2 linked regions of the Arabidopsis thaliana genome follow. The protein of the gene in region 1 interacts with the protein of each later gene in a pairwise test. Each region holds a gene or a part of one and is shown on either strand. Other genes may lie near its edges. The genes, in order: RR1 and TUB9.

Evidence for each region.
Region 2: the proteins of RR1 (region 1) and TUB9 interact in a two-hybrid assay, tested with the Arabidopsis thaliana proteins (one large-scale study listed by BioGRID).

The regions. Positions count from the first base shown.
Region 1 is NC_003074.8:5,753,959-5,760,002, forward strand, and holds RR1 (response regulator 1), read left to right. Parts: upstream 1-1,862; 5' UTR 1,863-2,154; coding exon 2,155-2,341; intron 2,342-2,397; exon of another isoform or gene 2,398-2,756; intron 2,757-2,838; coding exon 2,839-2,991; intron 2,992-3,074; coding exon 3,075-3,515; intron 3,516-3,588; coding exon 3,589-3,665; intron 3,666-3,743; coding exon 3,744-4,889; coding exon of another isoform or gene 4,890-4,895; exon of another isoform or gene 4,896-5,112; coding exon 5,113-5,181; 3' UTR 5,182-5,485; downstream 5,486-6,044. Other genes in the region: COBL8 (COBRA-like protein 8 precursor), read right to left, coding at 5,685-6,044.
Region 2 is NC_003075.7:11,180,108-11,185,233, forward strand, and holds TUB9 (tubulin beta-9 chain), read left to right. Parts: upstream 1-1,984; 5' UTR 1,985-2,110; coding exon 2,111-2,504; intron 2,505-2,687; coding exon 2,688-2,957; intron 2,958-3,062; coding exon 3,063-3,733; 3' UTR 3,734-3,995; downstream 3,996-5,126. Other genes in the region: AT4G20880 (ethylene-responsive nuclear protein / ethylene-regulated nuclear protein (ERT2)), read right to left, coding at 1-499; MS5 (Tetratricopeptide repeat (TPR)-like superfamily protein), read right to left, coding at 3,996-4,656, 4,692-4,808, 4,897-5,045. UniProt on the Arabidopsis thaliana protein: Tubulin is the major constituent of microtubules, a cylinder consisting of laterally associated linear protofilaments composed of alpha- and beta-tubulin heterodimers.

The sequences.
Region 1 (6,044 bases):
GTGATCTTATCCATTTCATGTGGACACGTGTCGCAATAGGGAAAGCTTCTCAGCAACGTGATTTATTTGTTTTTTTCTTATCATTAAATGTTTTCATTTTATTCTTCGAAATATACACATGTACAGTATTTCCAAAAGAAAATACACTATAGTTGATAGTTCATAAAAATTAAAGAAATACTTAATTGATTTAATATTCGTATTGTTGAGTTTTCCTTCTAAATACTACAAGTAGTGAATTTTACTTGATAACATTGATTAATGTAAGAAATTAGGTATCGATGCACATATGAAACAAGTCGTATGTCACACTTAAAACTATCGTTAATTTGAAAAAGATAAGACATGTCGGCGGTGCTAAACAACTATTTAAGCAAAGTATACACTGAACTTGGATAACTTAGATATAGTTTACATTGAAGTTGACAAATTTACACATTTATAAATAAGTTACTGGTTTGTATGTGTTTATAAATATGTCGTAGAGCAATCGAATAGTCAAATATGATTTGTTATCCTATACATTATTAAAAATATACTTTCGGGGGAATAGGGCGATTGGTGGGTAGCATATGATGTTACTAATCATTCAGATGAACCATTTGCATTATTTCTTTGTTTATTTAGTATCCAACGTTTTAAGAGAAGAAGCGCACATGTTTTTTTTTGCACCATATACTGACTACTGTTGTTGTAAACTTGTAATTATACATACATATATATATATATATATATATATATATATGTTTTCAACAATCAAACGTACAATTTTTTTCTATTTTCCATTTAATACAATTTATTTCCTAGAACTACAAGTTGTTTTTGATTAAAACATGAAAAGTATACTATATAAGTTATATTCTTACTAATCATAGTTACACACGACTTGAAATAAATACATACTAAAAAATTTGGAAGGTTATATGTTTAATTTGCACCAAAAAAGGCATCGAGTAATCTTATGTTATGTATACATCATATATCTGGTTTTTTTTTGTTGATAAAAGTATATGTACTATATCTTAGCTAAAGATGTAGGTGATGATGGGAAATGCTTAGGTGTATTTTGGTACCTTAATCATATGCTTGAATGTGCGTAGACGTATTATTTTGTTTAATTTAATGATATGATTATATTTTTATTTTGCCGTTTAATTTAATACATGTAGGTCCAATAGACAGGAGGCATTGTTTCTCAATTACATAAATTCAAAGGGTAGTTTAGTAAATAAATTATAGGCATATCAAAACTAAGAATTTTTTATATATATATGCAGCTGCTCTTTTGTTTAAGGCAAATTCCTATTCGAAATTGGTAGAAAATGGAAATTAAAACAAAAAATTAGGAAACTAACAACAATAATACTAATGAAAATCTATTAAGGTTTGAGTTTGCAAACTTTACATATGACGAGTTAATTAATTTTTTCATGCATGAGCTGGATCCACGAATCAAGGGTCTTTGGTCCCACTTTCTTCCCAATTATATAAATTTCCTTACCCTATATTTCTTTCATTGATGATTCAACCCCTATATTTCACTACTTCACAAAATAACCCAGAATTTGAGCTCAAAGCAACATCCAAAATGTTCTTCTAAATAGAAAAATAAAACAGAATATAGAACAATAGTACATATAATATACAAAACTAACTTGTAAGAAATTGAGAATAAAAAAGAGAGTGGATCTAAATGAAATTTAATAAAACCAATAGTCTAAATGTAGAGAGAATGATGAAAATAAAGGACATGTCAGCTTCTACATATATGTAAATAAAAAATATATATGACTGAGTATATAAAAACCACATTTTTTTTTTCTTCTGCATCTAAATGTTACAAAAATTGAATAGGAAAAATTAAGAGAGCTTTACTCTGTGAATAAATAAAAAAACAGAGAAAAAGAGCTCTAAGGTGAGACAAGCCTTGTCTTCTTCAACTCCCTAAGTCTCATCTCACCATCTCTCTCTTCTTCTTTTTTTTGGTTACCCAGAAGAGATTCACTTCTATCTCCAACAATTTCGTATTCTCTCATAATATTCAATTTTAAATCGAATAAAACTCGCGTCAATTTCCCCTCTTTCTTTCTGGGTATATATTCTTTTCTGCTTTTCTTTTTTTGTTTCTTGGGTTCGAGCTACATAGAGAGAGGTATGATGAATCCGAGTCACGGAAGAGGACTCGGATCGGCTGGTGGGTCCAGCTCCGGTAGAAATCAAGGAGGTGGTGGTGAGACCGTCGTCGAGATGTTTCCTTCTGGTCTTCGAGTTCTTGTCGTTGACGATGACCCAACTTGTCTCATGATCTTAGAGAGGATGCTTAGGACTTGTCTTTACGAAGGTTCGTATCCAAAAACCAAGATCTTCTCTTTTCATTTTTTTTTTTTTTTTTTTGTTCGTTTAATCTCACGAGAGAGAGAGAGAGAGAGAGAGAAAGAGAGTTCATGGTCTCTTGCTCCAATGATGGGTTTATTTGTGGTCCATTCTCGAAAATTATGTTATTTTGAGGAATAATTATGGTTTTCATATCGGTGGTTGACTAACTTTGCTCCCCCTTTAATAGAAACCATTTTGGTTACTTTTTAAGATTCACATATTAATCTCGAGCTTCTTCATTTAGATCACACCATTTTGATCTACTGATAGATTCACATGTAGATCCATTGTATATAATAAGTTAGGGGAGGTTTCAAATGGATTCAAATCTTGAGTCTTTGATCTTTGACTTGAGTTTTGGTTAAATGTCAATTCATGAGGTCCTTGTTGTCAGAATTCAAATCTCTGTTTTTTTCTTTTATCTTTGAAGATATGAAACATTTTGGTTGTTATGACATGCAGTAACGAAATGCAACAGAGCAGAGATGGCATTGTCTCTGCTCCGGAAGAACAAACATGGATTCGATATAGTAATCAGTGATGTTCATATGCCTGACATGGACGGTTTCAAGCTTCTTGAGCATGTTGGTCTAGAGATGGACTTACCTGTTATCAGTAACGTTCTTTTTACTCCCTCAAATCTCATCTAAGTTTGAATCTTTTTTTATAGATTATTGATCTTGTATTCGTTTAACTAGTGATGTCTGCGGATGATTCAAAGAGTGTGGTTCTAAAGGGAGTAACGCACGGTGCGGTTGATTACCTTATCAAGCCTGTACGTATGGAGGCACTTAAGAACATATGGCAGCATGTAGTTAGGAAGAGGAGAAGTGAATGGAGTGTACCGGAACATTCTGGGAGCATTGAGGAGACTGGCGAGAGACAGCAGCAGCAACATAGAGGAGGTGGTGGTGGTGCAGCTGTTTCTGGTGGAGAGGATGCGGTGGATGATAACTCATCCTCGGTTAACGAAGGTAACAATTGGAGGAGCAGTTCACGGAAGAGGAAAGACGAGGAAGGAGAAGAGCAAGGAGATGATAAGGACGAAGATGCGTCGAATTTGAAGAAACCGCGTGTCGTCTGGTCTGTTGAATTGCATCAGCAGTTTGTTGCTGCTGTTAATCAGCTCGGCGTTGAGAGTAAGACTAAAACTTCTTACATTTGCATTTGTGATTGTTATGCTCAGGGTCTAAATGATCTTCTATGGCGCAGAGGCGGTTCCTAAAAAGATCTTAGAGCTGATGAATGTTCCTGGTCTAACCCGAGAAAACGTAGCAAGTCACCTCCAGGTATAAATCTTATACTGGATACCAAAATGAGCCATTGAAATGCTTAGATGTTCTTAGCGGCTTTATGTGGACTTGCAGAAATACCGGATATATCTAAGACGGCTTGGAGGGGTATCGCAGCACCAAGGCAATCTTAACAACTCGTTTATGACGGGTCAGGATGCGAGCTTCGGACCTCTTTCGACATTGAATGGGTTTGATCTTCAAGCACTAGCCGTCACAGGTCAGTTACCTGCACAGAGTCTTGCACAGCTTCAAGCCGCTGGTTTAGGCCGGCCTGCGATGGTCTCTAAGTCAGGTTTGCCGGTTTCCTCCATTGTGGATGAGAGAAGCATCTTCAGCTTTGACAACACGAAAACAAGATTTGGAGAAGGGCTTGGGCATCACGGGCAACAACCCCAACAGCAACCACAGATGAACTTACTTCACGGTGTCCCCACGGGTTTACAACAGCAGCTTCCTATGGGTAATCGAATGAGTATTCAACAACAGATTGCTGCTGTTCGAGCTGGAAATAGTGTTCAAAACAACGGAATGCTGATGCCTCTAGCGGGTCAGCAGTCTTTGCCTCGGGGACCACCGCCTATGCTAACCTCTTCGCAATCATCCATCAGGCAGCCGATGTTATCAAACCGCATTTCCGAGAGAAGTGGTTTCTCTGGAAGGAACAATATCCCCGAGAGCAGCAGAGTGTTACCGACAAGTTACACTAATCTCACAACACAACACTCATCAAGCTCGATGCCTTATAACAACTTCCAACCAGAACTTCCCGTGAACAGTTTCCCGCTGGCAAGTGCACCAGGGATATCAGTACCGGTTCGGAAAGCCACTTCTTACCAGGAAGAGGTTAACAGCTCCGAAGCGGGTTTCACTACGCCGAGCTACGACATGTTCACCACCAGACAGAATGATTGGGATCTGAGGAATATTGGAATAGCCTTTGACTCACATCAGGACTCAGAATCCGCTGCGTTTTCCGCTTCAGAAGCCTACTCTTCTTCGTCCATGTCAAGACACAACACGACAGTTGCAGCCACCGAGCATGGCCGAAACCACCAGCAGCCACCATCGGGAATGGTACAGCACCATCAGGTTTATGCAGACGGAAACGGTGGTTCAGTGAGGGTGAAATCAGAGAGAGTGGCTACGGATACAGCAACAATGGCGTTTCACGAGCAGTATAGTAATCAAGAAGATCTTATGAGCGCACTTCTTAAGCAGGTTTGATTTGATTTTTTTTTTTTTGTCAAACTTATATAGAAGCATAATCTGATCCGTCAACGTACATGTTTGCGTTCAAAATCAAATATATAACAACTCTCAGACGCTTTCTCACCATTGGTCGCATGTCTTTTTCATAATAATGCAAATTACAACTAAATAACAAAAAAAATCAGTGAACCAAAAAAGTTGAAAAACACAATCTTGAATTATTGATATACAGGAAGGGATTGCACCGGTTGATGGCGAATTCGACTTTGACGCATACTCCATCGATAACATTCCGGTTTGATTGGATAAAAAAACCGATAAACCGGAGGGACTACCCGGATCTGTACTGTATCATTTTTACACGACGATCTACTAAAACTTGTTTGATATATATGTAGTCTGCATGAAATTTTAAATGGCAGATTATATAAGAAATAATTATTCATGTTAGGGGTTAATATCCTTGGAGATTCTTTTGTTCCTCATTTATGTAGTGAGGCTGTTTAGGGTTTTGTAAGTATGTATTTCGAGTAAATGCTTAGAATAATTCGAACAAACTTAATTTAGTACAACGCCACAACGTGAAATCAAAGCAATTCAAGATCAAAACACAAAGGGATTTGTCTGTTCAATATTTGTATGTATACATACTGATTACTAAAATCTGATCATACGAAATTCAAGAATCACACGGTGCACAAAGCACCACTAGTAGTAGAAGTAATTCTGCATCAAATCTGGTTAGAAAGAATCAAGAAAACTGTATATTTTCTGGCTAATGAGGAAAGTCCTTCACTGGAACTTTTAAATCCGAAGAAACAGTAGAGCCAAAAATGGTGTCAGGATGAGAAGAAAGGTGGATACATGTTTCCTGTGACTGTTGCTCGTGGGTAGTACAGAAGGGAGTGAACATTCCTGGCCGTTGAAGAGTACTTTGGTGGGAAACCCATCTTTGGAACCAACTTTGATTCCAGGAGTCAGTTTCTTGGTGAAGGAGATAACCGACTGCTGTTTCCCGGGTATCCGAAAGTCTTCACTCGGGTTTTTTCCGTCTTTCTCTGCAAGGAGATAGTTCAGTCCAGGGAGCCCTTCCATTAAAACAGTTGTGTTCTTCCCGTTGACCGCGATGATACTTCCGTTAAACGAGTACGCTTTCTGAAAACC
Region 2 (5,126 bases), on another chromosome or scaffold:
CGAGGAAGAGAAGGGCAAAAGCAGAGAGCGTGATCCCCACGGCGAGCTTCTTCGTGCTCAAGGCAAGCACAGCCACCATAAAAACCTTAAACACCACCACTATCAAAACACACCCTCCTCCTCCTCCACCGCGATGACCACCGTCGTCTTCATGGATAATCTCCGGAACAGAAGTTTCCTCGATCTTTCTCACCAAAGGAGAATCCTCTGTAACCAAAGCTGGATCAAGCTTGGAAGGAAGAGACATACGACGCTGCAAAGACATATGAGGAGGAGGTGGAGACAAAACACGCGTTTCAGTCTGGGCTTTGTTGTTCTTGTTGTTACGTTTTGAAGATTGTTTTTTGAGACGATCGCGATTCTTAACAAAGAGATCGATTAAAGAAGTTGGGAAACCAGTTTCAACAACGAGAGATCCACCATGTTTAGGAGATTGTTGAAAGTCTGATACGAATCTAGAGATCCGACTAGATTTAGATTTCTTCCAAGGTAAAGGCATGTTGAAGGAAAGAAAGAAAAAAGGATTTAGACTTTTAAAATCTTTTTTTTGGTGATAAATCACCTCTCCGAAGAACCCAGAAAAAAGGGTTTGTCGAAGAGATAGAGAAGAAGATCTGGTTGGAAGATCAAAACCATTAATTAGACATTTTGGAGAGACAAATGCAATAAATGGAGAAGAAACCTCTTCCTGCCCTCTTTGCGCAGAAAGTGAAATGAGAGAGAGAGAGATATGATGAGGAAACCGCTAAAAAGACATTGCAGGACGACGCGTGCCTTAACCAATTATTTTACTTCCTTTTTTTTGTTACAAAAAATTTGTTATTTATTTCCATTTTTGTTAAATTTGTACAACTGTACTATGCAGTTTTTAAGATTTTACACTTTCTGCTGTACCAAAATATTACCTATGTCCATCTGACCGAAATTATTAAATTAATTCTAATAAAAAAATTCTAATAAAGCTGATCAATTTATTTATTTTAGACTTAAACTTTACAAAAACTAATTTATTCAGCTTAATTTCCCCAATATGTAAAAACATTAATGACTACAAGTATGGTATAACAGTAGCTTCAAAATCTTAATTCATTTATACCGAAGCAAAAGTGAATTTGGTAAACCGGTGAAAAAAACAAACCATTCCGAAACAGATTTAAGATTTTTGTTCAATTATATTTTGTAAGCAAACAAATTACATCGAACTAAACTAAACTAAACAACCGAAATATGCATCCATATTATTTGTGAACTAAACATGGTAAACCGGTAATAGCTATTTTAAGATCCTTACATTTTTAAAATTTGTCTAAAGATAATTTGAACAATTTCATCTATTGTTAAACCTATCAACGAATTGTGTCTATAGTTAGATGCTAAAAAACCTTCCTGATAGATTTTTTTTTGTTTGAACCGTTGATTCATATAATAAACTTAGAAGCAAGACATATAGTAATATTTTTTCACTTGAAAATTGATATTTATGCAACAGATTAACTATTCTAAAATCGTCATATTTATGAGTTGTTATTTGCCTGTAAGCCATTTACTTCTAATTTCTATTGTCAGCTTATCTAATTAATTTGGTGATTTGCTAAATAAGTAAAATTGCCTATTATTGGTGTGAAAAACAACAAAGGAAAATCCACTAATGACGCAAATTCGAATCTTTTGGTCTTTAATTTCAATATCCGAAGAAAAAAGGATCTAATCAATAATATAAAAAAGCGTAGAAAACAATTTGCCTTTATATAACTTTCACGAGTGATTTTGTAAATATTTTATAATTAATTAACAAAAATATCTAAGGAAAGATATTTGTTTTTGATTCGCTGTATAACAGCACATAAAGGAAACCAAATCGAAAAACTATCAGGGTAATATCAAAAACCAATAGAAGTCTAAGGACGAAAATGCAAATTATTTGAGAAACTAGAGAAAAAAGGAGGTAAACTATATATAGCCGATTACTACTCTCATTTGTTTTTATACCCCTCAATCATAAACAATAAACAGAGGGAGTCGCCAAATTTTCTCATCATTTTCTCGAGAAAATAGACTAAAAGCGATTCCCGAGAGAAAGAAAGAACAAAAAAAAAACATCCGAGTGAAAATGAGAGAAATTCTTCATATTCAAGGAGGTCAGTGCGGAAACCAGATCGGAGCTAAGTTCTGGGAAGTTATTTGCGGCGAGCACGGTATTGATCAAACCGGTCAGTCATGTGGCGATACAGATCTACAGCTTGAAAGGATCAATGTCTATTTTAACGAAGCTAGCGGAGGCAAATACGTTCCTCGTGCTGTTCTTATGGATCTGGAGCCTGGAACTATGGATTCTCTCAGATCTGGGCCGTTTGGTCAGATTTTCCGGCCTGATAACTTCGTTTTTGGTCAGTCTGGTGCTGGGAATAACTGGGCGAAAGGTCATTACACGGAGGGAGCTGAGTTGATTGATTCTGTGCTTGATGTTGTGAGGAAGGAAGCTGAGAACTGTGATTGTCTTCAAGGTGAGAGAGATACGCTTTCATTTTCTAGGTTTTCGTTTTCTGAATCTCGTTTGTGTTTTGATTTGTTAGCGTTTCCTGTTCCTGTATGCATTCGAATTCAGATCTGCTATTAGAAACTCCTTCATAGATGCTTTGTTTAGCGTTTGATTTCATTCTCTGATTGATGATTCATTTGTGGAGCAGGTTTTCAAGTTTGTCATTCTTTGGGAGGAGGAACTGGTTCTGGAATGGGAACACTTCTTATTTCTAAGATTAGAGAGGAATATCCAGATCGTATGATGATGACCTTTTCGGTCTTCCCATCTCCTAAGGTCTCTGATACAGTTGTTGAGCCATACAATGCTACTCTTTCCGTTCACCAGCTCGTTGAGAATGCTGATGAATGTATGGTTTTGGATAACGAAGCTCTTTACGATATCTGTTTCCGTACCTTGAAGCTTGCTAATCCTACATGTGAGATTTACAAACCATTTATTCTCTTGTTTTCTAATATTCATGTGATTGTAGTTTTGAAAATCCTGACATTGTTCTTCTTTCTTATGTGGTGGTGTATCTTAGTTGGTGACCTTAACCATCTCATCTCAGCTACAATGAGTGGTGTTACATGCTGTCTTCGGTTCCCTGGTCAACTAAACTCTGACCTTAGAAAACTTGCTGTGAACCTTATTCCTTTCCCACGACTCCACTTCTTCATGGTTGGTTTTGCACCTTTGACATCAAGAGGATCTCAACAATACAGTGCCTTGAGTGTCCCTGAGCTAACTCAACAGATGTGGGATGCCAAAAACATGATGTGTGCAGCTGATCCTCGTCATGGTCGTTACTTGACAGCTTCTGCTGTCTTCCGTGGAAAGATGAGTACCAAAGAGGTTGATGAACAGATGATGAACGTCCAGAACAAAAACTCCTCATACTTTGTTGAATGGATTCCAAATAACGTGAAATCAAGCGTCTGCGATATAGCTCCCACTGGTTTGAAAATGGCATCAACTTTCATTGGAAACTCAACTTCAATCCAGGAAATGTTCAGGCGTGTGAGTGAACAGTTCACTGCCATGTTCAGGAGAAAGGCTTTCCTTCATTGGTACACAGGAGAAGGAATGGACGAGATGGAGTTCACTGAAGCAGAGAGTAACATGAATGATCTTGTTGCAGAGTATCAGCAATATCAAGATGCTACAGTCGGTGAAGAGGAGTACGAGGAGGACGAAGAAGAAGAAGAAGCCTAAAGAAAAGATGATTGATTATTACTTTTGTAAGGCTGTAAGTTCGTCGCACTCATTTCCTTTTACCTCTTTTTCTGAATTGGGATTCTCTCTTTTTGTGCTTTGTGTGTTTTGTTATTGAATTTCTTTCCCAAACCTAAGATTTGTTCCAGAGTGTAATCACATTTGCCTATGCTTCTTTGTTTTGTCTATGAAAATATTTCAATGTCAAAAGCCTATACAATTTCTATGATCCAAAAAACTTGATAACCGGTACAAATAGATCCTACATCTCTGCGGTTTTAAGCTCTCCCTGCAATCTTTCTTCTTCTTCTTCTTCTGCTTCTTCCTCTTCTGCGATATCTGCCCAGCTTTTCTTTGATTCACTCTTCGGACCATCTGCTGTATCTTTGACGAATTCATGGAGATATTGAATCATGTTCTGGTCCAGTTTCTTTCGCTTCATGGGTTCTTCTTCTCCTCTCTCTAAGATCTTCATCTGTTCAGAGCCAAAAGGTTGTGGTTTTCCAAATAGTAGCTTTCGAGCAGCACCTCTCGTCTCTTCTTCAAACAATCTGCATCTGCGTGGTTGTGTATATAGACCTGCAGAGTTCGGTCTCACAGATGCTGGAGACGAAGAAACATCTGAGTAGTTCTTGTTTGCGGTTCCAGGAGCTATATTTTCCTTCATCCTATTCACAAATGAACATCCCGCGTAGAACTTCTCCGAAAGATCAGCTTCTGGCTTTTTCGATTCTATTTCTGCTAACATTTCGACGGCTCGGTCATAAGACTTTGCGAATGGTTCATCTCCGCATTCACTCTCTGCAGGAGAATCTCTTACATCATCAAGCAGAGATTTAGCTTCAGGAATTCGACTCATACGCATCAAGCAGATTGCAAGGTTACAGAGTTTGTTTTTGTCTCGCTCCAAACCCAAAGCTCTCCTGTTCATAATCAGTTGAATATAAGCAAAACTCACATGACCAGACAGTAATCAATATTTGGGATTTTGGTAACAAAACCAAACCTGTAATGCTGCTCTGCAATTCCATAGTTATGTAACTGTAAATGAACCCAGCCCAAGTTCCCTAGTATCCTAAAATGTTCAAACAACAATGGAAACGTCAATTCAAGAGACAAAACACTCATCAAGCTAACATGAGAATACACCGAAACTTTCTCACCTTGCTTTCTCTTGCTCGATAGTCATAATAACATGTTTTCCTTGAACCCTTTTTGCTCTACTGACTCTACCACCAAATCCCATTCCTTGTTCGAGTGTTTGCAGTTTGTGCTCAAGTAAAACAGCTTCTTCTTCAATTCTCCCTGACTTCTGCAAAAACACCAAAACCCATTTCCAAGTTATAACAACTCCATAACACTTGCTGCATTAACAAAGAAGGAGGCTGCATTA